Callithrix jacchus: one gene and its partners. The protein of the gene in region 2 purifies or fractionates together with the protein of the main gene of each other region. This does not show direct contact. Links are inferred from orthologs where the notes say so. Each region holds a gene or a part of one and is shown on either strand. Other genes may lie near its edges.

Region 1 (4,351 bases), on a different chromosome or scaffold from region 2:
AAAGAAAAAAAATCGGAGGGGTCCTTTCTGCTTGGCGGGGAGTGCTGCCCTAAGGGGGACTGCGTTGAAACGGGCAATCTTGGCTGGAAACTCGCCTCCGCGGCCCGCCTTCCCTCGCTGGGATTCAGGCGCTTTCATATTAAGGGTTGAATTTGGCCACAGGCATCTCGGGAGGTCGCCCAGATAACTGAATGGGGTTAACGTACATAACCCCCCACACACTACGTTTGGAGTCATCTAGGCCATTAACGCCTGCCGAGTCCGCAAGCTATAGGATGGCCTCGGGTTATACATGAACCCAAAGCTGATTTCTTCCCTCCCAAGCAGCCCGCCCTGCCCAGCTCCCCCGGGAAGCGCGCGTGCTCTCCAGGCCTCGGGACGCCGGCGCGGGCGCCCCTGCACTGGCACCAGGGCTCCGGGGTAGGGGCGTGCCGAGCTGCCCGAGGCTCCGCTGGCGCTGGCGAAAGGAACGCTCTCCACCCGCTCAGCAGGCCCCAGTGCCGGCCTTTCCTTCCACTCTCGACTCCACCCGGGGGGACCCGGAGGCTCCACAATTAAAAACTTCGTAGGAGAGCTGCCGGCCCAACGGGGTGTGCTAAAGGGGACTAAAGATCCTGGACCGGGCCGGGCGCGGTGGCTCACGCCTGTAATCCCAGCACTTTGGGAGGCCGAGGCGGGTGGATCACGAGCTCAAGAGAGCGAGACCATCCTGGTCAACATGGTGAAACCCCGTCTCTACCAAAAATACAAAAAATTAGCTGGGCATGCCTGTAATCCCAGCTGCTCAGGAGGCTGAGGCAGGAGAATTGCCTGAACCCAGGAGGCGGAGGTTGCGGTGAGCCGAGATCGCGCCATTGCACTCCAGCCTGGGTAACAAGAGCCAAACTCCGTCTCAAAAAGAAAAAAAAAAGATCCTGGACCGTGGCCAGGCGCGGTGGCTGCAGCCTGTACTCCCAGCGCTCAGAGAGGCCGAGGCGGGAGGATCGCTTGAGGCTAGGAGTTTGAGAGCAGCCTGGGCAACACAACGAGACCCCGTCTCTATAAAAGATGATAATAATTAGCGGGGCGTGATGGCGCGCGCCTGTAGTCTCAGCTACTCCGGCGGTCGACGTGGGAGGATCGCTTGAGTCTGGGAGGTCGAGGCTGCAGTGAGCCGAGATCGCGCCACTGCACTCCAGCATGGGCGACATAGCAAGACCTTGTGTCAAACAAATAAAAATTCCTAGACCGTTTGCCAACATCCGTCCGTCTCCTCCCGGCCAAGTCCTAACCCTGGCTAACTTCGCCGTCTACAGCCTCAATTCTGGCAATCGAAAGGCAGCGACGGAGCCAAGCACACGCGGGACAGACCGCCACGACGGCCGCCAGGGCCAGGGCCGCGCTCACTCCCAGAACGCACCACGAGCGCCGGCGCCTTTGTGACGCCATCAGCCCGCGCGTCACCGCCGCCTACTGCGCAGTCGCGGCTCGTGCGGACGGCGACGGCTCAGCGGTGCACGGTTGGCGGCAGCGGCACTGTGGGTTGCGCGGCCGGGGATGCCCCAGCGGGCGCGATGGCCCCCGCCATGCAGCCGGCCGAGATCCAGTTTGCCCAGCGGCTGGCGTCCAGCGAGAAGGGCATCCGGGACCGGGCGGTGAAGAAGCTGCGCCAGTACATCAGCGTGAAGACGCAGAGGGAGACAGGTGGGCGCACGGCGGCGGTCAGCCGCGCCACATGGCGGGCCCGGGGCAGGGGCGGCGGCGCGGAACGCGGCTTCCATGCGTTGTCGTGACACCGAGAGTGTCCTCCGGTTTCCGCGCTGCCAGAACTGCTTCTTGCTGTCTAGTGCCTTTTTACAGTTGAGGAAACAGGTTGAGGGGGTTCTGTTACTTGCGAAAGTCACGGTGAGCGGGGAAGCTGAGAAAAGACCCACATGGGGCGGATTCCCTGACCCGCATCTCGCATCACTGGGCTGCCCTGATGCAGCTCAACGGCAGTGCTGTGTGATCTGGCCACTGCCTACATCTCCAGCTTCATCTCATAACACTCTCCCCCTCCCCAGCTTACCGGCATCTGGCATCACTGCGCTGCCCTGCTGTCCCGCCGGTGATTCCCGCCTTTCTTTGACCAGCACCTTTACGTGCGGGGGCTGCAGGCGAGAAGACAAAATCCCTTCTCTGGAGGATCTGTTGGTGATAAAGCAAGGAGACAATCAGGCAAATAAAGTAGACCTCGTGTAAGTGTAGTGAAGGGAATGAAAGCCAGGTAGTACGCCGGGCATGGCGGATCATACCTGTAATCCCAGCACTTTGGGAGGCCAAGGCGGGCGGATCACCTGAGGTCAGGGGTTCGAGACCAGCTTGGCCAACTTGGTGAAACCCTGTCTCTACCAAAAATACAAAAATTAGCCAGGCGCAGTGGCGCGGGCCTGTAGCCCCAGCTTCTCGGGAGGCTGGGGAGGTAGACTTGCTTAAACCCGAGAGGGCAAGGTTGCAGTGAGCCGAGATTGCACCATTGCTCTGCAGCCTGGACGATAGAGCAAGAATTTGTCTTCTAAAAACAAAAAGAAGAAGAAGAGAGAAGAAAGAAAGAAAAACAGGTAATAGAAAAAAAAGTGAAGGAGGTTGCTCTTCGTGAGAGGCTGTTCTGAGAAGGCCTCACTGGGTGATGTTCAGCTGGGATCTGAAGAGAGATGGGCGGAAACCACCTATGCCGTGACAGGAAGGAGTGAATGCCCTCCCCTAGGAGTGGTTGAAAGACCAGTAAGCTGGGGAGGGGGAAAGTGTTATGAGATGAAGCTGGAGATGTAGGCAGTGGCCAGATCACACAGCACTGCTGTTGAAGGATTTCACTTACCTGATCCAAAAATATTTTTTGTAAACTCTTGAGTGAGCCCATATGATATGAACCACAATGTGTGATAGAGGTTTTACGCTGCAGCAAGATTAAGTGTGATTTAGCTGCTGCTGGTATTAATACATTAGAATCTGCTTAGAAGAGCAGATAGTATCTCCCCACCACTGATATTCTCAGTTTGTTTTATTTTGAAGAGAAATCACCCGAGTACCCCAAAAAAGAAAATACGCTTTCCTGGGAACTCTGGTGGAAAAGGAAAGAAAACCAGAATTCCTGACTGATTCCATTAGGGTCTCCCTACGAGATTTTGTTTGCTGGCACAGTTCGGGGTACCCCATGTATGCTGGTGGTTTCTAAAGCTAAGTTGTTGACCCAGCCCTTTCCTGCTTGCAGCTCCAGTGAGCCTTGCTAGCCTGACGTCTCTACCTTGCACCTCACACTCAGAATGCCAAAAAACGGCCCGTTTTCTTCCCCCCAAAGCCTCTTTGCTGCTGCTCCTCTGCCACCTGTTTTCTCTTCTTTTAGCTGCTAGTTTCTACCAGCCACTCAGACTCCAGCCAGACACACAGGATTGTCCTGGACTCCTCTGTCTTCCTCATCCTCTTGCCCTGACCCACATCCAGTGCCCCTCAGCCCTACCTCCTTCACCTCCTGTTGAAATACATTCTCCGACCTTAGGCCCTTTGCATCTCCCCGGACTTCTGCACCTACATGTTCCCTAACTGGTTGCCTTAACTTCATTTGTGTCCCCCCCCCCCCCGAATCTCCTCCACAGACCAGCCCAGGGTCATCTTCCTAAAACAAATCTGATCCCACATCACCAATATTTTTGAAATCCAGTATCTGCAAGTCATGATCTGTCCTCAGGTGCTTTTCCTCCTAAGCCCCATGTGACTGCTTCGTGTTCCGTCAGCAGAAGCGTTCGTGGTTCCTGGCGTACAACACACAATTTCTCACCTCTCTGGCGTTGCTTCTCCTGTTCGCTCTGCAAAGGATCCCATGTCTTCCTCACCTTCAGTTCGGCATCACTTCCTCCAAAGAGCCTTCCTCGCCCTACTCCTCCAGGGCTCTAAAACATCTACTGTGTCTTTGTTGTAGTGCTTAGCTACATTGCTTCTTACTTATCTGTTAATGTGTCATTCTTCTCCAGAGACACTGTAAGTTTCCATCTGTTTTCTTAGCCAGAAGTGGGAGTACATGTAGCCATAAAACGTCCTGACCTGTGCAAGAGCAGAAGACCGAAAGCAATACGTATGGGGCTAAGACAGCCTAGGCAGAGAGCCTTTTGCTCAAACCCTTTGGTGAGCCAGCCCAGGACTTGCAAATGCTGGGGTTATGCAGGGGCCGAAGACCAGTTACACCAGTGCCCCAGAGTCCTGTCTGCTTAGTGCCTGTCACACCCAGGGTTACTCGTACATCTTGTCCACCACCACATTGCATGGAGGACAGTGGGCCTTCAAAAAATAACTCTGCACTGTGAGCATCATGGGCAGTGATAACGGACAGGAAAACAAG
Region 2 (4,101 bases):
TCAAGGCTGCAATGAGCTGTAATCATGCCATTGCACTCCACTCGAGCCTGGAGAACAAAGGGAGAACCTGTCTCAGAAAAATAGACTCGGCACAGTGGCTCATGCCTATAATTCCAGCACTTTGGAAGGCCGAGGTGGGTGGGTGGATCACCTGAAGTCAGGAGTTCAAGACCAGCCTGGCCAACATGGTGAAACCCAGTTCTCTAGTAATAATACAAAAACTAGTCAGGCGTTGTACTAATAATACAAATATTAGCCAGGCGTTGTAGCACACGCCTGTAATCTCAGCTACTTGGGAGAATCGCCAGAGGCAGAGGTTGCAGTGAGCTGAGATAGCGCCAGTTCACTGTAGCCTGGGTGACAGAGCAAGACTCTGCCTCAAAACAAAACAAAACAAAACAAAACAAAAAACCTGAGCAAATAAAGGCAGATTTTCAATGTCAGATATGATTCTATGATTCTAACCCATTTTTGAAATTTGTTTTTTTGCGCATATATATTTGAGACATAGGGGTTTTGATTGAAGGCTGGTTTTTAAGGAGGCTGAGGCAGGAGACTCCCTTGAATCCAGGGGACGGAGGTTGCAGTGAGCCCAGGTCGTGCCACTGCACTCCAGCCTGGGTGACAGGGCAAGTCTGTCTCAAAAAAACCCCCACAAAACTTCTCTCTCTCTCTCTCTCGCTAGTCTATAAAGTTTCCTGGGGATAAGGCTTTTCTGTTTGCTAGTGAATCCTGCCGTCTCTCCTACCTGATACGGTGAACGCTGGCAAGATGTTTGAGTGCACGCATGAATGAACGACCAGATCCGACTTAATTCTTTTTTTTCTTCAGAGTCTGCCTGCAGTTTCAGGGTCAATGTTTCCAAAAGATGACTAAGAACACACATCTGGCGTCTGTACGTGCAAACTCGAGCGATAAAGTACTGAAGATGCGCCACTCAAAAACAACTAGAAGCCTTCATTTATCAGACTGGCGCTAGGGAAAATCTGGCCAACGTTGGGGAATACAAAGCTAACCCTTTTGGTTCCTTGTGGTTCTACCGTTCCTTGGTCTAAAAGGAACCACCATCTAGACCAAGGGCCACAAGTGGTCAATTCACTAAATCCAGCCACAGTCAGAGGCCGCTGCTTTCAATTTTCCACGCAGAGAGCACCCTTCCCTTTGCTTCTTGCTTCCGCCGGAAGTGCCTTGTTAAGGGAAGTGACGAGAGCTGGGTGGGCGCCGGGGACGGAACTATCTCTTCCTCTCTCTCCACGCGGTTAAGAAGACCGGTCGGCCTGGGCAATCTGTGCTGAAGATGCCCGGAAAACTCCGTAGTGACGCTGCTTTGGAGTCAGTCACCGCAGTGAAAAAAGTGGAGACACTGCGAAAGCAAACGGAGAAGGTGAAACGGAGGGACCTGGGGCAAGGAGGGACGTTGAGTGGAGCGGAGCCCTGGGGTACAGGAGAAGTGCCTGCGCTGGAATTGTGGGAGCGCGTGGAGGGGAATAGCGAGTCTAGAGACTGGGCGTGGGTCTTAGCGGATGGTCGCCCAGGAGTGGTCCGCTCCTCGGGCAGTGGGCGCGTCGTCGGCCTGACTGAGCCAGGTTCGCCGCGCGCTGACCTCTTCTTCTGAGCTTTTAGGCATCCACATGTCCTAGGAACTCTGGTAGAGAGGCCCTATCCGAGCTCGAGAGAAGGCCGGTGTCCCACGTGGTCCCTGGCTACTGGGCGCGCCTCACACAGTGCGCAGAGTTTGACATTCAGTCAGGCTCCACGTTATTGACTAAGATTTAACTGCCGGCGTGAGCGTGAGCGAAAGGAATTACAAGTCAAGTCATAGTTGGAACTGGAGCTTTATAGCAAACTGGAGACATCATAACCTCATCTGTGCACGTGGGCGGCGTCTTTGTTGCCCCGGTTTTTTTGGGAAGGGGAGATGGAGGCTGAAGTGCGGTGTCGCGATCTCGGCTCACTGCCACCTCTGCCTCCCGGGTTCAAGCAATTCTGCTTCAGCCTCCGGAGTAGTTGGGATTACAGGCGCGAGCCATCACGCCCGGCTAATTTTTGTATTTTTAGTAGAGACGGGGTTTCTCCATTTGGTCAGGCTGGTCTCCAACTCCTGACCTTGTGATCCACCCGGCTCGGCCTCCCAAAGTGCCGGAATTACAGGCTTGAGCCACCGTGCCCGGCCTTTAGTGAGTTTTTAACTTTGGGAAGGGAAGTACAGTTTGTTTTCCGGTAAGCCGCCCTGAGAAGATGATTAGTTCAGTTCTTAATATTATATTGACTAGATTTCCCATGGAAATGTAAAGGCATATGTTGCAGTGCTAAGTGTACATTATTTTTTTATATAGGCCAGCAGTGTGCAGTAGTCTTAACCTTGACAGCCATTTGCTGCTTTGCTGTTGGCTTTCTAGTGATTTAACTTGTGACCGAGTCTCTGTTCTGAGATAAAGTCAATGAGAACAGATTGTCCTTGAACTATTGTACACTACTTAGAATTAACTTTCCTTGTTGGTTTCTCTGTCTTTTGATGTGGAGCTCTTACAACAGCAATATTTTAGAATTGTAGGAAGCTGCAGCAGATTTGTACTCGGGTGCAAGAAGGTAGTGGTTTACGCTGCATCAGTCATTGTGTTCAATTTGGCATACTCAAATCCAGAGGTACATGACCAAACTCTGTTACATTCCAAAAGAGACCACCAGCATGGGAAAACTCAGTCTTATTTGGTGAAACCAAGGGATGAAAAAGAATGAAATTTTGGAAGGAGACTAGCTTGTTTTTCATTGGCAAGGAGATTATTCTTAATCTTTGATTGGAGAACAGACCAGGCCTGACGTTTCCGGGAAGCAGATTTCAGTGTAATATGTACTTCCAAGATTGTTCTGGAGCTCTGCCAGAACAGGCTTCTAAGGAGGCTGCAACACCTGTCTAATTGTTTTCAGTAGTTTGAAAAGGTGTAGAGACTCAGAAAGTTCAAATAGGAGCCATAGTCATCTATCTTACTTGGTTCCGAGATGTCACTCCTTCCATATTCTTGTAACTTATTTATTTTATTTTAAATTAAGTACATCTTTTTTACACAGGGGTGATAGACTGTGAGTTTTTATAGCTTTTTGGTTCATAAAGTATCTCTTATTTTTTGTAGAGACAGAGTTCCACTCTGTCGCCCAAGCTAGAGTGCAGTGGCATGATTATGGGTAACTGCAGCCTTGAATTCCTGGGCTCAAGCAATTCTCCCAACCCAGCCTCCAAAGTAGCTAGTAGTGTAGGTGTGTGCCACTATGCCTGGCTAATTTTTAAATTTTTTATAGAGACTGGGTCTCTATATTGCCCATTCTTGTCTGGGACTTCTGGCCTCAAGCAATCCTCCTGCCATGGCCTCCCAAAGTGCTGTGATTACAGGCATGAACCACTGCACCTGGCCCTAAACTGCCTTTATATAAATTCATTTGCTCTTGTGAGATAGGCAAAGTGCAGAATTCCTGTTTTGGAGTTAGAGACTGCGGTGAGCTATGATCACACCTCTACCACAGCCTGTGAAAAAGTGAACTTGGCCAGGTGCGGTGGCTCACGCCTATAATCCCAGCACTTTGGGAGGCCGAGACGGGTGGATCACGAGGTCAAGAGATCGAGACCATCCTGCTCAACAAGGTGAAACCCTGTCTCTATTAAAAATACAAAAATTAGCTGGGCATGGTGGTGTGCGCCTGTAGTCCCAGCTACTCGGGAGGCTGAGGCAGGAGAATTGCTTGAACCCAGAAGGCGGAGGTTGCGGTGAGCCGAGATCGTGCCATTGCACTCCAGTCTGGGTAACAACAGTGAAACTCCATCTCAAAAAAAAAAAAAAAAAAAAGAAAAAGTGAACTTGTCTCTTAAAAACGAAAAAATCCCTGTTGTTTTACCTGGGATTTTAGCAGGAAGAAAGAAAAGAAACCTGTTTAACACATCATCAATCTGTAGACATACATGACCTTATTCTATTGGGATTGAATTTGGACTTTCTGTATTGAGTTTGGAGCCTGTTGGAGTATACCATGAATTTATCCAAATCCCTTATGAAAAGCTGGGTGCAGTGGCTCACGCCTGTAATCCCTGCACTTTGGGAGGCTGTGGCG
Region 3 (4,424 bases), on a different chromosome or scaffold from region 2:
TGTGATATATAAATCCTAAATCCAGCTACCAGGAACTGCCTGGAACTGTGGCCATGCATTTTTTTTTTTTTTTTAAAGACCAGTGTGATAATAGGCCATGCATCTAAGATAGCATTCCTTGGTAACTAGAGGGAGGAGGAAAAAAATCAAGTAGGTTCAGGCTTTTGTTTGTGTAGAAATAACTACAGAAAGCTCTTGTACATAATGCTCAAGTTTGCACCCGATGATCAAATCCATTAAAAACTAATCTTACATGATGTGTGTGGCTCGTTTTCTGAATCTCCTTTCCGTTATTCATTGAAAATTGTTTAGAAAATAGCTTTTCTTTTCTTATAAAGGTGTCCTGTGACTCAGGAGTGTTCAGAAGATATTAAGTGTTAGTCTTATCATGAGTTAGTAAGCCATACCTTCTTGGTAGCTTATATGTCCTGTGTATCCTGAGAAGGTGGGATTCTTGGTTCTTAATCTAAATCTGAACCCCCTCTTTGGGTTATATGAATTTACTTGAGCCTCTCACAGAACTCAGGGAAACACATTTACTGGTTTAATGTAAAGGATATGACCGAGGATGCGGATAAGGAGATGAGCTCCCCTCCCAGGGCTACAGCCCTCCAGGAACCTCCAAGTGTTTAGCTCTCAGAGGCTCTCCAAACCCTGTCCTCTTGGGTTTTTATGGAAGCTTCCAAACTTCAGCATCTCTTTCCCCAAGGTATAGGGTGGGACCTTCTCTGGGGAGGGACTTAAGACCCACAATCAGAAATGTGGGGGGAGATGAGAGTCCCGCTATGGGGCCTGTGAAAGGGGAGGAGGAGGGGAGAGAGATTCTATTCTCTGAGGCCTAACACACCCAACATTATCACAGAACACTGTAACAAGGGCTGTGAGAGTTAAGAGCCAGGAACTGTGGATGAAAACCTATACACACACACACACACACACACAGTGGATGAAAACCTATACACACACACACACACACACTGGATGAAAACCTATACACACACCGTGACACCACAGCCTCCCAGGAACTGTGGATGAAAACCTACACACACACACACACACTGGATGAAAACCTATACACACACCGTGACACCACAGCCTCCCAGGAACTATGGATGAAAACCTACACACACACACACACACACACACTGTAACACCACAGCCAGGAACTGTGGATGAAAACCTGTACACACACACACAGAAACACCACAGCCTCCTAGAGGAAAGTGACCGTGTAAGGGTCTGGTAAGAGCTGAGGGGAGACAAGAGTGCATTCCACGCAGCCCAAAAACGGTGTGGCTTGAGACCAGTAGATGGAAAATGTCTAAGCAGCCACCGAAGGGAATTAAACAGCTTCGGACAGCGGCCTCAGGCTAACGCAGCAAGAAAGCTCGCGGAAAAAATTCGAGGCTTCCCGGGCTATACCGGAGGTCTCCAGCAGAGGGCGCGATTCCTCCCACTGGCCTTAGGTCTTCAGAGCGCCGGCGCGGGAAGCGCTTCCTGACGGGGCGGGGCTTCCGGCAGCGGGCTAGGTCGCGGGGAGCCTAGAGTTGGGTAGTCCTTTGCGTCTGCACGTGTTCCTAGTCCTCTCCGCGATGCTGCCTCTGCTACGCTGCGTGCCCCGTGTACTGGGCTCCTCCGTTGCCGGCCTCCGCGCCGCGGCTCCCGCCTCGCCTGCTTCGCCATTCCGGCAGCTCCTGCAGCCGGCGCCCCAGCTCTGCGCCCGGCCCTTCGGGCTGCTCAGCGTGCGCGCAGGTTCCGAGCAGCGGCCGGGCCTCCTGCGGCCTCGCGGGCCCTGCGCCTGCGGCTGTGGCTGCGGCGCGCTGCACACCGAAGGTGAGGTTCATGCTCGTGGGCCAGGGCTGTTGTTGGGGTTTGCGGTCTACGAAAGAAAAACGTAGACCAGGAGTGGCGCCTGCAACCGACCTCCGAGATCTGGGACATTATTCCATTGATTGGCAACCAGCGGGTTAAACCCACGTGTGATCATATTTCCCCACCTCGCCTTTCCACAAGTTTCATTTTCTGTTGGAACGGGGTAGATAAATACTAGAGGGTACCTCTATCCTTAGCTTTAGTCTCTCAAAAGTGGACCTTTGGGAAAGCCCAAGGTCGTGATTGAAAATAGCATAGTTAAATCGTTTGGCAGTGGAAGAGGATGCCTGGAAGTTCTTCTGCTTTACAACAGAAGGTGGCAATGCGTTCGCTGTTGGACGTCCTTAGCTTCGCAATACTATTGTGTTATTTTTACAGATAAGGAAACTGAGGCTTCCAGAGTAAGCATAATAGCAGAGATTAGAAACAGGCCAGATTTCTGGCTACAATAACTTGGGTAATAATTTTATGTTTTAGACTAACTGGCTTCCCTTTTAATGTATCTGGATTTCTAGGAGACAAAGCTTTTGTTGATTTCCTGAGTGATGAAATTAAGGAGGAAAGAAAAATCCAGAAGCATAAAACCCTCCCTAAGATGTCTGGAGGTTGGGAGCTGGAACTGAATGGGACAGAAGCTAAATTAGTGCAGAAAGTTGCTGGGGAAACGTAAGTACTGGTCTGGGGATTCCAGGGCACCAACTCCATTACCCTGCAAGACCCGTCGTGGATCATCCCCAGAAGAGCCTTGAGTTCAGGTGTGGATTCTTTGATAAATGGTTTTCAAGCGAGTGAAGGATTCATTTGGACAAATTTATAAGTTCCAGATAGTTGATTCACTGAACACAAATTTGCTGTGGGCTGATTACTAAGGAGACAAAAATGAACACAAAAAAGTACTGGCAGAATCAGATTGATCTCTGGTTTACAGCGCCAGTAAAGTAGGACCCTGGTCTCTTAATGTCCAGAGTGGGTGAAAATGCAACATGTAACTTCTGTGTAACAGAATGGGGTTACACTGTAGTCAGGGCTGCCATCAGAGGTTGGGAGTTTGTGACCTAAGGCAGCTCTCCCACCTTCTAAGCTAACTGTTGAAGTGTTTACAATTTTTTTGCATTATAGTCATCCATAATCTTATTACACAGATAAACACTTAGTATCTTCCAGGTTTTTAAAATTGAATTATTTTATAATAGACCTTATGATGTATATATAACTTTTTTTTTTTGAGAGGAGTTTGGTTCCTGTTGCCCAGGCTGGAGTGCAATGGCATGATCTCAGCTCAATGCACCCTCTGCCTCCCAGGTTCAAGCGATTCTCCTGCCTCAGCCTCCTGAGTTAGTTGGGATTACAGGCATGCGCCACCACACCCAGCTAGTTTTGTATTTTTAGTAGAGACAGGGTTTTGCCACGTTGGTCAGAATGGTCTTGATCTCCTGACCTCATGATCCGCCCACCTTGGCCTCCCAAAGTGCTGGGATTACAGGTGTGAGCCACCTCACCCAGCCTTTAATTATTTTTTTAAGTGACAGCTTTAATGAGATTTAATTTATATACCATAAAATTTACCCATTTATTGAAGCTTATTAAATTGTTTCTTAGTCCTCATAAAATTATGCATCAGATACCACTAACTAATTCTAGAACATTATTGTCATCTCCAAAGAATACCATTAGCAGTCACTCCTGATTCCTCCATCTAGCCACTGCAGGCAATCACTAATCTACTTTCTCTATAGATTGCCTCTTTTGGTCATTTCATATAAACAGAGTCCTACAATATGCAGCTTTCTCCCTACCCCATGGAGTCTTGCTCTGTCATACAGGCTGGAGTGCAGTGGCAGGATCTCGGCTCACTGCAACCTCTGCCTCCTGGGTTCAAGCAATTCTCCTGCCTCCGCCTCCTGAGTAGCTGGGATTATAGGCGCATGCCTGGCTAATTTCTGTGTTGTAGTGTTGGCCAGGCTGGTCTTGAACTCCTGACCTCATGATCTACCTGCCTAGGTCTCCCAGAGTGCTCCAATTACAGGTGTGAGCCACGCTGCCCAGCCTATTTACCTTTTTAATTGTTGGGTTTTAAGAGTTCTTTAGTTTATTCTGGGTATAATTCTCTTATCACATTAATGATTTGCATGTATTACTTCCCATTTTGTGGGTTTTCTTTTCATTCTTGGTAATGTCCTCTGACACAAAAGTTATTTATTTTGATGAAGTTCATTTTAACCTGTTTTTTTTTTTTTGGGTCACTTGCGCTTTTTTACTTTTTACTTTGCTTTTGATTCACCAAGTGCAACTTGTGCTTTTTTAGTGTCACATCCAAGAAACCACTGCCTAATCCAAGGTTGTGAAGATTGATGCCTTATTTTTTTCAAAGCGTTTTCTAGTTTTAGCTCTTAGTTTAGGTCTCCGATCCATTTTGAGTATGGTGTAAAGTAAGGTCCTGATTCGCTTTGCCTATTGCATAGCGTGTTTTTTCCCATACACAGGTCAGTTGTGTCATCATTTAAAAACCATTTGCACAAGCTTTTCACAGCTATTTGAGGGCCATTAAAAAT
Region 4 (4,389 bases), on a different chromosome or scaffold from region 2:
CCACAGATTGGCATATACCATGTGCCAGGCCCTTTTACCCACATCACCTGGAATATGGGCTCCAACCCTGATACACGTTACATTTGTTTCACAAAAGAGAAATGCAGCGCTGGCTCAGATGCTCTGCCAAGGCCACAGAAAAGGTGAGGGAACCGAGACTGGCACACAGCCTGTGTGGCTCTCAAGGGCAGGCCCTGTCCCCAAACCAGCCTCCCCTCCAGATAGGAGTGCTCCTTCCATTCCACTCCCCACTCCCCCTCTGCCGGGGGACCTGGATCTCTGTACCCCGTGGACCCCGTACCTCAGGAGTGATGGAGCCACAGAGCTGACTGATGAGGGCGAGCTGGTGCTGCTCCGTGTTGCCCTGCATGATGGGGCTGCGGGTCCACATCTCTGCCATGATGCACCCAGCACCCCACAGGTCAATGGGGGGGCCGTAGTCCCGCTCCCCTGGGAAGAAGAGCGCACCAGGAGGGCCCCTTGAGCCCGAGGGCCTCCTGAGGCTCGATGCCCCAGGGCCGGCAGCTCAAGAAGCCCTGGCATTGGGGGTGGGGGCCAGGTGGATGCCTGGCCCTCACCCCCCTCGGCCCGCTCGGGAGTCCTCACCGAGCAACAGCTCCGGGGGCCGGTACCAGAGTGTCACCACACGGTTGGTGTAGCGGTTGGGCTGGCTATTCTTGGCCAGGCTGAAGGCCCGGGCCAGCCCAAAGTCTGCCAGCTTCAGGACCCCATCACGAGTGATAAGCACATTAGCAGCCTTCATGTCCCTGTGCAGGATCTGCAGGAAGGGCAAGAGTGGCTTCTTCACTCACATCCACGCAGGAGTGGGAACCAAGGCCAGCCCCAGCCCGGGTCCTCCTCCCAGCTCTGGCCCCCACCTTGTTCCTGTGGATGTAGTAGAGGCCGTTAAGCAGCATCTGCATCACCCTCTTGATCTCAGACAGTGTGAACTTGACCAAAACATTGCTCAACAGCCCAGCAAGGTCATGCTCACAGAAGTCAAACACCAGGTATATACTGCCCTTGCAGCGGTTATAGGGGGAAGCTGAGGCAGGAATAGCAGAAGGAAGAAAAAGTCAAGAAAAGCACACCCAACTCACTTTCCCACAATCAGCTTCTTTCTTCCTGCCCCGACCCACAGACACCCATGCCCTCCAGAGCATCCGTCTGTTCCTTCCTTCACTGGCCAAATATTTTCTGAGTGCCTCCTCTGGGCCAGGTGCTGTGGCAGGCCCCGGGGAAGCATCAGCTATGATGACAGAGGACCAGAGAAAGCAGTCACCATGGGTCCATCTGGGTTAAGAAGAGGCAGTTTAGGTGTGTCCAGTTCCAACTCTGCAAACAAAACCTTAGGCTATAAGCGTCATCTTCTCACAAGAGCCAAACAACTTACCTTTGGTTCGACAAATCTCAATCAAGTTGACCACATTCTCGTGTTTTAGAAGCTGAAGGATCTTGATCTCCCGCAAGGCTGTAATGGGGAACTGGGTGGGAGAGGGGGAAGTGGTCAGGAGAAAGCACAGTACAGAGCCCAGCTCTGGGTTCTATACTCAGAGACAAGCTGGGAGACAAAGCAAGAACACGTGCTCTGAAACCAGCTGTCTCAAAAGCCTTATCTGTAAAATAGGTATAGCAGGGGCACACACACCTCAAAAAGATGGTTTCAGACTACAAACTGAAACAGCAGGACTTTGCTACTAGCCACTAAATGCTCCGCGGTTTCAGCCTGTAACTTGAGCTCTACGGGTGTTTTGTTGGCAACAAACATGATGACTTAAAAACGTCCTTGCTAGAGCAGGAAAATGAAGGTTTATGGGAAACTATACTAGAGCTAAGACGCAGTGGAGGGACTGCTCCTTTTAAATACGTTAAATAATTATTAGTCACCTTCCAAAAACCATGCACATATATCTCTTTTACATTAAGCAAAATATAACACTAAGAAAGAGGTGTTTAAAGGCTTCCTAACTTCGTGTGCACACGATGCAAACATTAACTCCCCCTCCCGGCCTCAACTATAACTGCCTAACAATGAAGCATTTAGGTTTTAGGGTGGAGGCCAAATTCCTTGGAAATTTCTAAACTGCTACAAACAAAATGAATCTCAACCTGAGACTCGTTGAAGCAGCAGGGTGGAAAGCCAACCCGGGGTCCCGGGTAGTTAGACCGCACGCCCGATCCGTACTCACCCCCTCCTTCTCATTTTCCATCAGCACCTTCTTCAGAGCCACCTTCTGGCCGGTCTTGCGGTGCTTGGCCTTAAACACCTCCCTGCAGGCGGAAAGGGAGACCCGAGAGAGCTCATCAGGCCGTTTCCGCAGGGCCCGCCCCTCCCCCACTACAGGAGGAGGGGCAGCAGCAAAAGACTCCCGGGCGGCGCTGGACCGGGTACCCAGAACACGCGGCTACCCCACGCGGTACCCGACACCCGGTCTCGTTCAGAGCCTCTGCTTTCTCCCCTCAGTCCCTTCTCCTCACTTGGGCGTCTCTTGGAGAGATCCCACTCCCCTGACGGTCACTTCTCTGCAGCCCCTCCCCGCCCCCCACCAAGGGCCTCAGGCTCCTCCCCACCAGCCGGCTCCGTCAGGCCCGGGCGGGGTGCGGCACGGCCTAGAGACTTGTGGACAAGCCCAGAGACAGGCGGTTTCTCTACCACCTCCAACCGGGTCCCCGGCGTCCAGACGGGGTGCAAGCCCAGTACTCCCATCCCCGAGGGGCACAGCCTTACCCGAAGGTGCCTTGGCCGATCTTGGCAAGCTTCTCGTATTTGGTAACTTCATCACAAAAGGGGCACTCAACTGAGTCGTACTGCTTTGCCATGGCCGCCTCCAGCGCGCCGCCGCCGCCCCCAGCCGCCGCTGCTGCCGCTCCCGCTCCGGGTCCCGCCGCCGCGCTCCAGGCCCCTCCGCGGCCGCGCCACTTCCGCCTCCACGGCCACTTCCGGCCCCGCGGCGCCGACCCCGCCTCTTCCGCCCGCCGCCCGCCGCCAGGCCCCCTGGGACTTGTAGTTCCCGGGAGGCCAGGGGGAGCCGGAGCTGCAGAGGCGCCTCCGCCGCCGCCGCTGCCCCCGCCTCCGCCGCCGCCACTACTGGCGGCGGCCCCGATCGGGGGCGCGGGGAGCCGGGGCGCCGGGGCTGGGGCTCGGGGCGGCGCGTCCCGCTGCATTGGCCCGGGCCGCCGCTGCTGCCGAAGCTGCTGCCGCTCTGGCGCCAGATCCGGGGCCAGCCGCAGTGCCCTGCTCCTCCTCCTCCGACGGCGCCGCCTCCGCCGGGCTGCGCGGGGCGGCGGACGGGGGGGCGACCCCCGAGCCGCGGCCTGGGGGCTCCCTGGCCGGGCCCGAGCGCGGGCCCGGGGCAGCCGGGCGAGGGGGCGAAACGGGAAGAGCCGACTAGGAGGTGGCCCGAGAGCCCGGGAGGGGGCGCGTTATAAAGGGGGAGGTGCCCTGCCTCGCCCTCCCCTCCTCCTCCGCCCGCCCCCTCCCTCCTCCCTCCCACCCTCCGCGGCCGCACCTGCCGCCGCCGCCACCGCCCGCCCGCCCGCTCGCTGTCCGCCGGCCGCCCTAGGCGCGTCACCGCCCGCGGCCCCTCCTCCGCCTTCGGAGGTGGGGCCCCGCGCTCGGCACCTGGCTGCGGGCGCCCCGCCGCGTGCCTCAGTTTACCCCCACATGCCCGCTGCCGTGGAGAGCCCCTTCCTCCTCGGCTCGGAGTGCCCCCCCGAGAGGCGAAGGCGGGAGGCGCGGAGGGAGCGTCCTCCGGCCCTGGGAGGAAAGAACTGCCCCCGCCGCCGCCTCCCCCGGTCCCCGCCACCCGCCGTTGACATGGCAACCGACGGCCGCCAGGGGGCGCGGCGGCACTGGAGACGGCGAGCAAGCAACGCCCGGGCCCTCTATTGCTGGAGCGCGGCTCTTCGGGGGGCAGGTATGGGACCCGCAGGATTCCCGCTTCCGCCGAGGAGCGCCAGAGCTGGTCTGGCCCTGGGTCAATAATCGCAAAAAACAGCTGCCATTTTTCTCAGCTCTCTCGTGTGCTCAGAGTGCTGGGCGTTCCCGCCGAATCCGGGATCAATTGCCCCATAGTCAGGATCACTAACCCATTTTGCCGAAGAGGACATTGAGGCTCAGAGTGGTGAGGTCGTTTGCCCAAGGTCACACGGCGGCAAAGCTGGGACCCGGACCTGGGTGTCTGAGTGTGAAGGGGACTCTCTTGATTCACGCCATTTGCGGTTGGGCCAGTAGGAGAGCAGTCGGGAGACCTGCTGTCCTTATATGAGGGTGCAAGCTCACCATTCACCCTCCTCTTCTCCCTTCCCCATTGCGCCCATCCCTTCTCCCTCCGCCCCCATCCTCCTGGTTCCAGTGGTCTCCAGATTCCCCCTCCAGCTCTGCCCAAG
Region 5 (4,267 bases), on a different chromosome or scaffold from region 2:
CTTCTCACTCTTGCCCTTAGGATATATTTCCAATTAAATATACCTGTGACCCTGCCCACCTCTGCAACCCAATGCCACACTGGAGTCTTATTGAACTACTTGACTTGCATTTCCCGAGATCCCACCTCTTCTCGCCTGTACCCTGTGAGCGGAAAGTCAGCCCTCCACCTTCTCCCTGCTTCCACTCCCAAAATACTTCGTGCTTTTAATTTAATTTTATTTTTTTAAAGACGGGGTTTCACCATGTTGGTCAGGCTAGTTTTGAACTCCCGACCTCAGGTGATCCGCCCGCCTTGGCCTCCAAAGTGCTTGGATTACAGGCGTGAACCCACGCCCGGCCCAATATTTCGTGCTTTTGCAGCTCTCGAGTATTTCCAGTGCTAGCTGTTTAAATTCCTGCCGCCATCAGAAGGCAGAAACTGACTCGAGAACTATTCCATCCCCAGCCGATAGTAGACGCTTAAAAAAGAACGAAAGACGGTGGGTGGAGGACTTCAGTAACATCAGGTGGCAGCCTCAATTTTATCGTTTGTGAAACGTGGATAGTAATCCTTCTATCACATGGCTGTTGTCGGAATAAAATGGAAAAACCAAACAGGCTAGCTTGTTCAATAAATGTGAGTTGAATTAAATCTGATTTGTGGCCAGTAGAAAAAGACATGAACACTCGAAGACACTTCTTTTTAATACATGTGTATGCCTGGTAAAACGGATCAGAAGGCAGGTCCCCATGGAGCACACCCTCGCCTTAAACATGCTAAACGTGCTGAGCCCAGGCTGTCTGAGCCTGCGTGGTCCCTCCAAGGTGACTGCTCCGACAAAAGCGTAAGCTCCTCAAACGCATACGTTTAAGGCAATTCCAGAAACCATAGGCTGTGCCGCCACAACACGGCCATTAAAGAAAAGATGACTTTATGCCTGCAGTCATGTTCTCAGATCACAAGGACTGTATTTGGAGCAGAGAGGGAGGGAAGCCTTCTCTTTACGAAGGGCTAATGCGTAGTCGGGCCCCCCTCCAATCTCGGGTCCGGCCGGGTAATTCCTGCCCAGCATTCGGGCGTGCCTTTTCTTCAGCTGGGACACAACCCTGAACGTGGGGCTAGCCAGCCCGGCGGCTGCCTCGTGGAAATCACGTTCTCTCTGCCCGTCCTCTCGGGTACTCTATGGTTTTTGTGGCCGACTACTCTAATTCTAGTTCCGGTCTCTATGGCGGCCGGCGGAGGCAGGAACGGTTGTAGGTCGGCTGAATTAGCCGCCAAAGGGCCAATGAGAGTGGAGAACTGATAAAATATTATCCAGTAGAAGCCAGGAATTGGGGTCAGGTGGGCAGATTGACAGCAGCAGTGGCCAGTGAACAACGCCTAGGGCGGGTCGATCGTAGGGCTTATCCCGCCTGTCCCGCCATTCTCGCTAGTTCGATCGGTAGCGGGAGCGGAGAGCGGACCCCAGAGAGCCCTGAGCAGCCCCACCGCCGCCGCCGGCCTAGTTACCATCACATCCCGGGAGGAGCCGTAGCTGCCGTAGCCGGCCCCAGTCACCATCACCGCAACCATGAGCAGCGAGGCCGAGACCCAGCAGCCGCCCGCCGCCCCCCCCGCCGCCCCCGCCCTCAGCGCCGCCGACACCAAGCCCGGCACTACGGGCAGCGGCGCAGGGAGCGGTGGCCCGGGCGGCCTCACATCGGCGGCGCCTGCCGGCGGGGACAAGAAGGTCATCGGTGAGGGCCGGACGGGGACGGGTGTGGGGCCCTCGGGCAGCCTGGCAGCGGAACCGTTAGCCTGTGCAGGGCGAGCCGGCGGGCGCGCGGCCGGCGGGGACCGACTCCGCGGCGCGCGGCCGCCCCTCCCCCAGCACCCCCACTCATCCTCACGGGGGCCCGCCCGGCAGGCGCGCGCGCTCTGCCTCCTGCGCCCCCTGTGGACCCCGCGCGGACGCGCGCCCCTCCCCCTGCGGTCGCGCGCCCGCCAACCGCGTGTGCGACGGGGTCCCCTCCCCGCGACCGGCCTCGTGCGCTGTGGCCCGCACGCCGTTGTTCGCGTCTCCCCCACCCAGCTCCCTTCCGCGTGTGCTCAGAGGGCGCGGCGCACCGCCTACGCAGGCCGGAGTGGGCCGGGGCGGCTTCCCCTTCCCTCACGTGCTCTCCGCCCGCGGCCTGCGCACACACCCATTCTGGGCCCGCGCCCCGGGCCTGCCCTGGAGCGCCCCGCGGCTTCAGACTCACCCACGTGTGCGGCGGCGGCGGTGGTGGCGTGGCCCGGCACCCGGGAGGTGGAGAGAAAGGGCTGTCAGGTGGCCTAGCGGGCAGCGTCCTAGGGACCGGAGACCGAAGCCGGGCGGGTTTGGAAAAGGATAGGTGGTAATCGTGGCTTGTTTTGCTTTGTTTTCTTTTCCAGCAACGAAGGTTTTGGGAACAGTAAAATGGTTCAATGTAAGGAACGGATATGGTTTCATCAACAGGTGAGCTCCCGGACCCTGAAGCTTCCATCCCACTGTCTCGCTTGTTGCCTGCTCTGTCGGCTTCTTGGCGCTTGGGAAGCCCCGAAGGGCGTTTACTACCTCTGGTGTATTAGTGTGATTTTTTTTTTTTTTTTTTTTAATTCCTTGACGACTGGAGGGATTAGTGGATCTAGAGAAGGTCTTTGTTTTGCAGCTAAATGTTAATTTGAAGCCAACTTCAAAGGCTTTCTTACAGTACAAAGCAATTTAAAAGGCAAGCAAAGTGAATGAGCCATGCCTTAACAGGGTAAACGGGAAACTACGGTCCTGTACATTTTTATCCTTGTTATCCTTTTCTACTTGATTGAACTCGGTGTTTGAGAGAGTGATCCACTGACATCGGATATTTACACCTTGTTAACATTTTGGGGGTAAGATTTGACGTGCCAAGTATATGAGGTTTTGTCATCTTTACCGAGAGGTGTTGCCTTTTTCACCTTCATTGTAATACCTTAGATAAATTTTATATTAGCACCAGAGAGAAGCTGTTTTTATTTGCTCATAGAATAATGTATCTGCTAGAAAATGGTTCTTTGCTTTCTTCAGTTCTTATTTTTCATTCTTCCTTGTCCTAAAATCATACTGATTAAATCGATTTCTATTAGATTTCTGGCTATAGCTTAGAGTGGCCATAGTCCCTGGTAACTTGACATTGTTCTTGCTTGAAGGCAAAGCTGCAGGCTCCATCTTTAGGACTTACTTTCGGGTTGTTGCTGGTAATGTGCAGTACACTGGATTCCATGGGCTCCCTTGTGAGCCAGGCATCATTTTCAAGATGGCTGCCAAGGCTTAGTAGTGCAGTTTACATGAGTGTAGAGCCCTGGGTATGCCAATAGGAATCTTGGCCTTATAGGTATGGTACATAGTGCCATCTCAGCATTCTCTTACTGTAGAAGACCTAAGCAGATGATTAAAAGAACAATTAAGAATGTTTGTGGAGTGGACAACAAATGGACGAAATCAAGCTTAAGGACAGACAATCATAGCTTGATGAAAAACCGTTCGTTCATTAATCAATCATACATTATCGTGGAAACAGAGTAAGAGAGAAGCATTTGATGGTCTATTCTCTACTTTTGCAATTGTGGGAAAACGTTTTGTTTCTTCCAAAATCTTAGGATTTTCCAACCTTCTATACTGTTGCCACTGTTGTGGCTGTAACTATGTTTTTCATTAATTTTTTGATAATAGCTTATTAGCAAGGAAGGAGGGGAATGCTTATATATGATTGATATACTGATAGCTTTTTAACTGATCTTTCTGAACTTACTAGTGTTTTAGTTTGTGTTTCTGTCTTATTCTGAGTCTCCGAACTAGTCTAACCCTTCAACCAGTGTTTTTCAGATTTAAGTGTGCTTGCCTAGGTCTGGGTACATTTTTTAGCAAGAATAATGTGAGCCATACCTTCAAAATCACTGCTTTTAACCCTTGACCCAATGTAATGGTAACTTTGGTGTGCAGATTTGCAGCCTTTTCAGTGGGTAGATTGCAGTTTTGTATGTATGAAGTTTAGCGTGTGCCATGTTTCGCTACATTTTGTTGAGTGGCATAGGTTATCACATTTTTAAAAATCAAGTTTTATCCAAAATAAGAGTAATTCTTACAAGTATTTCATGAGGTGTCATTCATTGAATATCTCTGTTCTGAATTGGAATCAACTCAATTGGTCATCCTCCAGGGCAAATTGTGAATTGGCTTTTGATGGTCTTTTGTTTGGACTATCCTAACCTCAATTATTTTGTCAAATTGACTGGTTAAAATGTTCTTTATG
Region 6 (4,060 bases), on a different chromosome or scaffold from region 2:
AGTTGGAGCCTCAATTCAGATATAGACTTCTTAAACCCCAGAATGCTCTGATTGGATTTTTGCGTTGAGTGCTCCAGATCAGAAGAAAAGAACTGAGTGGTCCTGACTTTTTTTTGGGGCGGGGGGGACAGAGTCTCACTCTGTCCCACAGGCTGGAGTGCAGTTGCGCCATCTCGGCTCACTGCAACTTCCGCCTCCCACGTTCAAGTGATTCTCCCACCTCAGCCTCCCAAGTAGCTGGGATTACAGGCGCCCGCCGCCACGCCCGTCTAATTTTTGTATTTTTAGTAGAGACGGGGTTTCACCTTGTTGGCCAGGCTGGTCTCGAACTCCTGATTTCAAGTGATCCGCCCACCTTGGCCTCCCAAAATGCTGGGATTACAGGCATGAGCCACCGAGCCCAGCCCTTTTTTTCTTTTTTTTTTTCTGCAATCATTCGTCCATGCAACCAATGCAGTATTTCTCAGGTGTGTTCGATCGAAGATCCATGTCTGCCACAGTACAGTTGTGAGCCAAATGAGACTGGTTCCCACCCTCCAAGAGTCGGCTATCTTAATGCCTTCCTTTGCTAACTGCAAACGTTACCTCAAGTAATTTTCACAACTGGATGACAGAAATATTGGGATTAGGTCCACTTTACAGAGGAGGAAATTGAGGCACCAAGAGATTAAAGACCCGCAGTGGCGTAAAAACTAACATCTTTCAGTGATCTATTCTGCACTCCAGGGGCTTTCAATCTACTACGAGAGTGAATGAGAGATCGCCTTTGTCTGATATCTGCTGTCATTATTCTCTCTCGCTTCTTAACTGATTTTTTTCCCGCCAATAAAACACGCATCCGCAACCCCCTGAACGCCCACAAACACCAGGCCTCTAGCAAAATCTCTCTCACTCCGCCTGCGCAATCCAACTCACTTCCGGTTACAAATAATCACGTGATCGGGTGCCTTTGCTGCGCATGTCTAGTAGGAAGTAGGACTATACCACTTTCCCTACGGAAGGGGTACACTTTCTATGTTTTTAAGTTTAAATCCGATTTCCTATATTAGACGTTTATCATTCCAGGTCTTTGTGGAGGCTATGAGTGAGTTTGGGGTGGCGGAAGATGAAAGAACCGGACAGGAATACAGACGAAATTGGAGCGGGGTTTGGGCTCTCCCCTTTGCAGATAATGGGAGGAGCCAGGCCCAAGCGAGCTCCTTCCTTTCGCTGCTGCTGCCGCAGCCATGAGGTAAGGGCCCGTGGGTCTCCCGCCGACGATGACGCGTTCCGGCAGGGGATGGTCGGGCTTGGGACCGCAGCCGGGGTTAGGGGAGATGAGATTGGAGGCCGCCCTAAAGCGGCTGGTCTCGGAGTTTGGGGTAGGCCGGCGCACATTCGTCCCAGGCCTCCGGAGTGGGGGGAGCGGGGAGCGTCGCAGCCGCTGAGACCCGGAAAGGCTGCCCCGGCAGGCGCCACGCCGCACACGTGTCGGGTCGACCCACGCGGGCAGAACAAAGGCAGCGAACTGGACCGAGCCGTGGACCCTTTTTTGCTGGGCACAACCAGAGCCAAGCAGATGTCTGCTTTCACGTGACGTAGGGCAAGCCTGGCGTAGGCACCAGGCCTTCGACTGCTGAGTGAGGTGATGGACGCTTTCCATTCCTTTGGCCACTCATAAAGGAAATCTCTATGAATGGCTCAACGTGGCTTGTTACTGTGATAAAACGAGGAAATGAGCCCAGAAAGCAGAGTAACTTGCCTGCGTTTCTAGACTAGAAATCAAGTCTACTCACCTCGAATATTCTTCAAATGCTGAGTACCAGAAATATCGTAAGCCCCCTGTTCATTCCAATAAATCCCTGGCCTGACTTTCCAGAGGAGAGAAATGCAAACATGAGGCTCAGGGAGGTAAAGGCATAGCTTGGGTTTCAAAGTCTAAACCCAGGAGGGCCAGCTGCACAGCCCAGAGCCTTAAAGATGATTTAGGGGAGAGTCTGAGTTCGAAGCTGTGGTGTGGGTGGCAAAGGGTGGGTCTTGGGGAACGTTCATTCTTGCCCAGGATTGGCTTTCAGGGTCTAGTAATGTTTTCTGTGCGTCCAGTATGCTCAGGCTTCAGAAGAGGCTCGCCTCTAGTGTCCTCCGCTGTGGCAAGAAGAAGGTCTGGTTGGATCCGAATGAGACCAATGAAATCGCCAATGCTAACTCGCGTGAGTACCTGGGATTTGCCTCTTCACCCTATCTCCTTCCCTTGTCCTGCATCAGATAAATGATAACACAATTTTGTTGCCCTTTTTTTTTTTTTTTTTTTTTGAGATAGTCTCCCTCTTTGCTCAGGCTGGAGTTAAGTGGTGCCATCTTACCATTGCAACCCCCACCCCACTCCCAGGCTCAAATGATTTCTCTTGCCTCAGCCTTCTACGAGTAGCTGGGATTACAGGTGTGCACCACGACGCCTAGCTAATTTACTCTTTATTTATTTATTTTTGAGACAGAGTCTCAATCTGTCACCCGGCCTGGAGTGCACTGGTAAGATCTCAGCTCACTGCAGCCGGGTCCAAGCATTCACACCCAGGTTTAAGCGATTCTCCTGCCTCACCCACCATGTAGCTGGGACTAAGGCGCATGACACCACACCTGACTAGTTTTTGTATCTTTAGTAGAGATCGGGTTTCACCATGTTGGCCAGGCTGGTCTCAAAGTGCTGACCTCAGGTGGTAATGCCCGCCTCAGCCTCCCAAAGTGCTGGGATTACAGGCGTGAGCCACCACACAACCTAGCCTGTGTTGACTTTACAAACCTAGGAAAGCTCATTATTCAGGGGATGTATGAAATGGAGGAGTCATTGTATCAGGCTCTTTCTTTTGAGTGTGCTGTAATATACTTAAAAAGTAGAAAAGGCCAGGCATGGTGGCAGGCATCTGTAATCTTAGCTACTTGGGAAGCTAAGGCAGGAGGATCGTGAGCTCAGGAATTCAAGATGGGCCTGGGCAACATAGGGAGACTGAAAGACACAGTATCTCTCACAACTTCTGTTTGTGAAGGAAAAAGAAAAGATAGAGATTTTGTTTGGTTTTCGGAGGCAAGAAATAAACAAGTTGCAGTATTTCTATCCTTTTTGAGACCATGGAGCCAAGAATGTGAGCAGTGCCTCTCCTTTCAGGTCAGCAGATCCGGAAGCTGATCAAAGATGGGCTGATCATCCGAAAGCCTGTGACGGTCCATTCCCGGGCTCGCTGCCGGAAAAACACCTTGGCCCGCCGGAAGGGCAGGCACATGGGCATAGGTAAGAAATCATGGGTGCTGGTGTCTACACTGAAATATATTCAAGATCTTTGCACTCTGTCTCATCTTGAGTTCATTTCCTACTCCTTGATATTTGATGTGTTTTCTGCCTGTGTGCAAATCAGAAAGTTGGTGCTGGTGTTGGAATTGAGAGTATTGCTGGTAGGAGGTCACATTCACTAAGTCCCTACCTATACTATGCCAAGGATTCTGCTGGGTCCTTGAGAATGTTGTCTGTGTAAATCTAAAATTACTTTCTAGTGTCAGAATGATTGAGGGAAGCTCCTTACAACGGGCTATGCTGTTTTGGTGCACTGCCTGTTAAACCCACATTCTGTATGAAGTGAATGGGGAATTACTGCCATGTCTGTGCTTCCTTTAAAATTGAGTAAATGACGGAGCTGAGTAGTTGGGATCATCATTGGAAAATGGAATTAATGCTAATTAAAATGAGGTGGTGAGGATTAAATGAGTTAAGGACCCTGAAACTATATTCATTTCTGTATTACAGACAGTGGCCCATTCCTAACTCATCTTCTCCACAGGTAAGCGTAAGGGTACAGCCAATGCCCGAATGCCAGAGAAGGTCACGTGGATGAGGAGAATGAGGATTCTGCGCCGGCTGCTCAGAAGATACCGGGAATCTAAGAAAATTGATCGCCACATGTAAGCCGCCCTCTCGGGCCCAGTACCCATTTGCTGCTTTGATGGCTTGTTCTTTCACGGACACTGTCTTACTGGCCCTTGGTAGGGAGCTTTTTTGTTGGTTTTTTTGTTTTGGAGTCAGTCTGTCTCT
Region 7 (4,433 bases), on a different chromosome or scaffold from region 2:
TATGTTGTATTCTACAACAGTGTTGAGTGTATTGCAATTTGTTTTAAACTTGGTTCTTCATTTCAGATACCTTAAGGAACCCTGCTTTAAACACTATCAGTTGTTTAACACTTGGAAATAACATAAAAGCAGACATTCACCTGATGCCTGATCTTAACCACATACCTTTAGCAAAAGGGGCCACTGAGACGTGTCCAACTTAGCAACTTTGGATTCAGGTTTGATAAGAAATTCTTCAACGTGTTGTATTTCCTTCCACAGAAGAGAAATATAACCTATTAGACTTCCCACCCGATTTTGAATAATTCCATTGCTACCACGGAAATGTGTGCCTTTTAAATAGAAAGTAAGGCTTTCTATGCCTTTTCAGTGGGACCTCCAGGGGAAAGAGAAGAAATGAACCAGGAGTACAGAGGGGAAGTGAAATGCCACTAAGATGGGTCCAAAAATTTAAAGAGAAAGGGGGATAGTGGGTCTGTGGGTGGGATAAGGAAGAGAAATTCAGAGACAGCAGTTGGGAAGCCCAGCACCATTTAGTAAGCTATGCCTGAAGGAGACTTGGACTGTCTGGGGCTGTCATATCAGTACTTTTTCAAATCTACACAATGACCACCAATCCTGGCCCATTCTTGGAAACCTTTAAAACACTTCTTTCCTTTAGTTTGTTATTTAAGTAAACCTTCTTTTTAGTCAAAGTGAAGTCAAACACATTACTACTCACGGCTACATCTTCTTCTGGCAATGACTTCCGCTCCTTTTTCTTCTTATGTTTCTTTGGTAAAATAATCACTAAAAAAAAAAACAAACACAGGATTTGAGAATTTTCCCCAAGAATAAATGAGCATGAGTTTAAAATAAAAACCAAAATTAGGGGTAGGAAATGGATCTTAGGTCTACAATTACAGTCACATGCCACATAATGTTTTGTTCAAGGACAGACTGCAAATGTGACGGTGGCCTCCATAAGATTATAACAGAGCTGAAAAATTCCTGTCTCCTAGTGATGTCTTAATGATCCTGACCTGTGTACGTCAAGGCTACTGTGTGTGTTTGTGTCTTATTTAACAAAAAAAAAAAATGTAAAAACAAAAAAAAAGTAGAAGAGTTATAAATAAGGATATAAACAGAGAAAATAATTATGTACAACTGAATAATGTGTTTAAGCTAGGTGTTATTACAAGGGTTGAAGGAAATAGTTTATAAAGTTACAGTAAGCTAAGGCTGATTTATTCTGAAGAAAAATATATTTTTATAGAGGAGGGACAGCGGGGGGTGGGGAGTTGGGGAGAGATAGCATGGGGAGAAATGCCAGATATAGGTGAAGGGGAGGAAGGAAGCAAATCACACTACCACGTGTGTACCTATGCAACAATCTTGCATGTTCTTCACATGTACCCCAAAACCTAAAATGCAATAAAAAAAAAGAAAAATATATTTTTATAAATTTAGTGTAGCCTAAGTGTACAGACTTTATAAAGTCTCCAGTAGTGTAATGTCTGAGGCCTTCACATTCAGTCACTGACTCAACCAAAGCAACTTCCAGCCCAGCAAGCTCCATTTATGGCAAGTGCTCTCCTCTACGGGTGCACCACTTTTAACCTTGTGTACTATATATGCATACACATTTGAGATGCAGTTTCACTCTTGTTGCCCAGGCTGGAGTGCAGTGGTACAATCTTGGCTCACTGTAACCTGTCTCCCAGGTTCCAACGACTCTCCTGCCTCAGCCTCCCCAAGTAGCAGGGATTACAGGCATACGCCACCATGCCCAACTAACGTTTGTATTTTTAGTAGAGACAGGGTTTCACAATGCTGGCCAGGCTGGTGTCGAACTCCTGACCTCAGGTGATCGGCCTGCCTAGGGCTCCCAAAGTACTGGGATTACAGGCATGAGCCACCATGCCCAGCCCTGTACTATATTTTTACTGTCCTTTTTCCGCTTAGACATGTTTAAATACACATCGTCTCGACACTGTGCTCCAACTGCCTATAACATTCCCCACAGTACCATGCCGTGCAGGTTTGGAGCCTAGAGCAATAGGCTCACCATATACAGCCAGGTGTGTAGTGGCCTATGCCATCTCGGTTTGTGTAAGAGCACTCCGACGTTCCCACAACGATGAAATTGCCTAACGACCCATTTCTCAGAAAGTATATCCGTAGGTCAGCGAGAAAACAAAGTGTGTAAGGCCAAATATATGGGTCGCATGGCTGGGTAACTGCCTTCCGGTTCACCACGTGGCTATGGCAGGGCTTAAACATCCCACAGAAGCGCTCACGCAGGGGACCCGACAGTTCCATAAGCGACCACTCGACTCTCCCCGCCAGCTTGTGGCCTCTAGAAGTTTCTTGCAACTCGGAGCTATGTCTGCTCACGGGTCCCCCGGCTCCTTTTCTTCTCGGCCCGTTTCCACCACCCTTGCTCCCATCGTCGCATGGAGCTATACTGGCGGCGTCCGGGCTAGCAGCAGCACAAACGCTGCCACGTCCCCCGCCACCACGGGGTGGGCAGCACGACAGATGTCTTACGACGAAAACCCGGACCCCAGGGAGGCTTGTCATCGGTGAGAGGCCCGAGCCCCGCCATACCAAGTCACCGCGAGGGACTCCCACTCCCGCCGTCGCCATCGAGCCAGGGCCGAGCGACAAGGCCGGTCGGCTAAGAGGCCGACGCGCCGGCGGGAATCAGAGGGAGGTGGGCGCGGGCCCGTATACCATCCCCCATTCCCGGCTCCCCGAGTCGCCTGGAGTTAGCATAGTCCGGACGCCTGCAGCCCTTACCTTCCGCATCCGCCATGTTACCCTGCACCGCGTGCGTACCGCCTGGTCCACGGCCCGCAGAACTACCGCAGACTCCCGCCGCCACAGTCCAGTGAGGCCGCGCTGCTAGGCCTGCCCCTCCGCGCACAACCCTGTGCGTGCCTCGCCGCGGAGCGGGAGGGGGCGGGGCCTTTCCCGGGGCGACCCGAGGCGCTCGGGCGCGCGGATCTTCCGCGCAATGCGATTGGCTGGCTCAGCCAGGGTCGCGCCACCGCGCCTGCGCCTCGAGCCTCTACCAGCCCGATTAGCCCCGGCTGGAAGCGCTAGTGCCGCCCTCCCCGGCAGCCCGGAGTCTGTGGGCGTGTCCCCAGCTGTCGTTGGTTTACCTCCGGGTTTACCTCCGCGCCTGCGCCTGGGCTCACGGCTGAGCGCTGCGTAGTCGGTAGCTCTTTGCTTTCTGACACTGACTCTCTCAGCTTGGTGTCGGATTAGTCCTGATTCAAAAGTGAACATGTTGAGGCTCGGAGAGATTGAAAGCCTTTTGCTGCTTGCAGTTCCCATCCAGCTAGAGCGGATGGCCACTAGGAGCAGAGCATGAGCCACATGTTGACTTTTTCTAGCAGCTACATGGAAGAAGAGTGAAAAGAAAAGGGTGAAATTGATTTTAATAATGAATTTTTTTAACCCAGCGTATCCGAAATATTATCATTTCCGCATATAGGCAAAACACAACTGCATGAATGGGATATTTTGCTTTTTTTTTTTTTTTTTTTGGTCCCCACAAGGTCTTTCCGGTGTGTGTGTGTTTACTGTCACAGCACACCTCAATTGGAACTCTACGACCAGGCTTCACGCCAAACAGCAGAGACAAAGCACTGGCACTAAATCTCATAGAAACAGGATGAGCCTGGGTATCATGATAGGCAGCAAGGCTGGAAGCTGGAACCAAACTGATTTCTCCCCAGGGATCTTTGGTGCTGTCTAATTGATCGTGGTGTCCTATAGTAAGCCATCATGATCTGTATAACCCCTGTAACGCTAGATCTGGCTAAAGGCATCCTGTCTTGAATCACCACAATGGAAAATCATGGTGCCTCATCTAATTCCCAGATCTAGACAGTCCACAGGCCAGAGCCTGTGAGGTAAGCCTGTAAAAGTGAGGCCAGGCACATGTGTGTAGTTTAAGCCTGCCTCCTACTTTACCCTGGGACCCATGGACATTTACCAGAGACTTGCACAAGCTCGTGTTAATCCCTGGGGAAGTAGAATGCCACTGTCAGAAGTGGAGTCAGCCCATGTCCCTTTCACTCTCAGCCACCCTGTGGCTCTCTCCCCACTTCTTGAATCCATACTTAGAATAAACACAATTGGTGGCTGGAAAAATTCCCACAGGGGCTTCCTGACTCAAGGACTGAGGGTGATAAATGAAGGAAAGATCAAAGGAAGCCTCTGCACATTATCATAATTGAGTCCCTGGGAACTGATTTGATCATCTCACTGTACCCCCAGACATCATGTTGATGCATAGGAAGTGGCAAATGTCTCACCACAAGGTGAGAGATAAGCCCCTTGAAAATTCAGGGAGGTGACACCTCAGTGAACTTTCTGGGCATCCAGTGGGCTGAGACATGTTGAGATGGTCCCTCCAAAGAGAAAGACAGGTTGCCTTACCT

The links.
Region 1: the proteins of DDX21 (region 2) and RRP1B purify together in Homo sapiens (affinity purification with mass spectrometry; 3 studies listed by BioGRID and IntAct, with this or other methods). This does not show direct contact. The link is inferred for Callithrix jacchus from reciprocal best matches to the Homo sapiens genes DDX21 and RRP1B.
Region 3: the proteins of DDX21 (region 2) and C1QBP purify together in Homo sapiens (co-immunoprecipitation; 3 studies listed by BioGRID and IntAct, with this or other methods). This does not show direct contact. The link is inferred for Callithrix jacchus from reciprocal best matches to the Homo sapiens genes DDX21 and C1QBP.
Region 4: the proteins of DDX21 (region 2) and CDK9 purify together in Homo sapiens (affinity purification with mass spectrometry; 3 studies listed by BioGRID and IntAct, with this or other methods). This does not show direct contact. The link is inferred for Callithrix jacchus from reciprocal best matches to the Homo sapiens genes DDX21 and CDK9.
Region 5: the proteins of DDX21 (region 2) and YBX1 purify together in Homo sapiens (co-immunoprecipitation; 4 studies listed by BioGRID and IntAct, with this or other methods). This does not show direct contact. The link is inferred for Callithrix jacchus from reciprocal best matches to the Homo sapiens genes DDX21 and YBX1.
Region 6: the proteins of DDX21 (region 2) and RPL19 purify together in Homo sapiens (affinity purification with mass spectrometry; 3 studies listed by BioGRID and IntAct, with this or other methods). This does not show direct contact. The link is inferred for Callithrix jacchus from reciprocal best matches to the Homo sapiens genes DDX21 and RPL19.
Region 7: the proteins of DDX21 (region 2) and DKC1 purify together in Homo sapiens (co-immunoprecipitation; 3 studies listed by BioGRID and IntAct, with this or other methods). This does not show direct contact. The link is inferred for Callithrix jacchus from reciprocal best matches to the Homo sapiens genes DDX21 and DKC1.

What each region holds. Positions count from the first base shown.
Region 1 is NC_133522.1:49,330,194-49,334,544, forward strand, and holds the start of RRP1B (ribosomal RNA processing protein 1 homolog B), read left to right. Parts: upstream 1-1,456; 5' UTR 1,457-1,553; coding exon 1,554-1,683; intron 1,684-2,042; exon of another isoform or gene 2,043-2,047; coding exon of another isoform or gene 2,048-2,166; exon of another isoform or gene 2,167-2,216; intron 2,217-2,273; exon of another isoform or gene 2,274-2,664; intron 2,665-3,793; coding exon of another isoform or gene 3,794-3,837; exon of another isoform or gene 3,838-3,919; intron 3,920-4,351. UniProt on the Homo sapiens protein: Positively regulates DNA damage-induced apoptosis by acting as a transcriptional coactivator of proapoptotic target genes of the transcriptional activator E2F1.
Region 2 is NC_133513.1:61,121,657-61,125,757, reverse strand, and holds the start of DDX21 (nucleolar RNA helicase 2), read left to right. Parts: upstream 1-1,199; 5' UTR 1,200-1,297; coding exon 1,298-1,384; intron 1,385-4,101. Other genes in the region: uncharacterized protein LOC100388015, read right to left, coding at 749-886.
Region 3 is NC_133506.1:106,968,042-106,972,465, reverse strand, and holds the start of C1QBP (complement component 1 Q subcomponent-binding protein, mitochondrial), read left to right. Parts: upstream 1-1,499; 5' UTR 1,500-1,592; coding exon 1,593-1,833; intron 1,834-2,387; coding exon 2,388-2,538; intron 2,539-4,424.
Region 4 is NC_133502.1:176,410,670-176,415,058, reverse strand, and holds the start of CDK9 (cyclin-dependent kinase 9), read right to left. Parts: upstream 2,925-4,389; 5' UTR 2,821-2,924; coding exon 2,729-2,820; intron 2,272-2,728; coding exon 2,190-2,271; intron 1,485-2,189; coding exon 1,394-1,484; intron 1,046-1,393; coding exon 879-1,045; intron 779-878; coding exon 607-778; intron 451-606; coding exon 302-450; intron 1-301. Other genes in the region: SH2D3C (SH2 domain-containing protein 3C), read left to right, coding at 3,665-3,917. UniProt on the Homo sapiens protein: Protein kinase involved in the regulation of transcription.
Region 5 is NC_133508.1:79,327,259-79,331,525, forward strand, and holds the start of YBX1 (Y-box-binding protein 1), read left to right. Parts: upstream 1-1,412; 5' UTR 1,413-1,551; coding exon 1,552-1,717; intron 1,718-2,393; coding exon 2,394-2,457; intron 2,458-4,267. UniProt on the Homo sapiens protein: DNA- and RNA-binding protein involved in various processes, such as translational repression, RNA stabilization, mRNA splicing, DNA repair and transcription regulation.
Region 6 is NC_133506.1:119,687,356-119,691,415, forward strand, and holds the start of RPL19 (large ribosomal subunit protein eL19), read left to right. Parts: upstream 1-1,164; 5' UTR 1,165-1,226; coding exon 1,227-1,231; exon of another isoform or gene 1,232-1,624; intron 1,625-2,082; coding exon 2,083-2,189; intron 2,190-3,142; coding exon 3,143-3,265; intron 3,266-3,809; coding exon 3,810-3,930; intron 3,931-4,060.
Region 7 is NC_133524.1:150,506,031-150,510,463, reverse strand, and holds the start of DKC1 (H/ACA ribonucleoprotein complex subunit DKC1), read right to left. Parts: upstream 2,929-4,433; 5' UTR 2,798-2,928; coding exon 2,782-2,797; intron 790-2,781; coding exon 722-789; intron 253-721; coding exon 166-252; intron 1-165.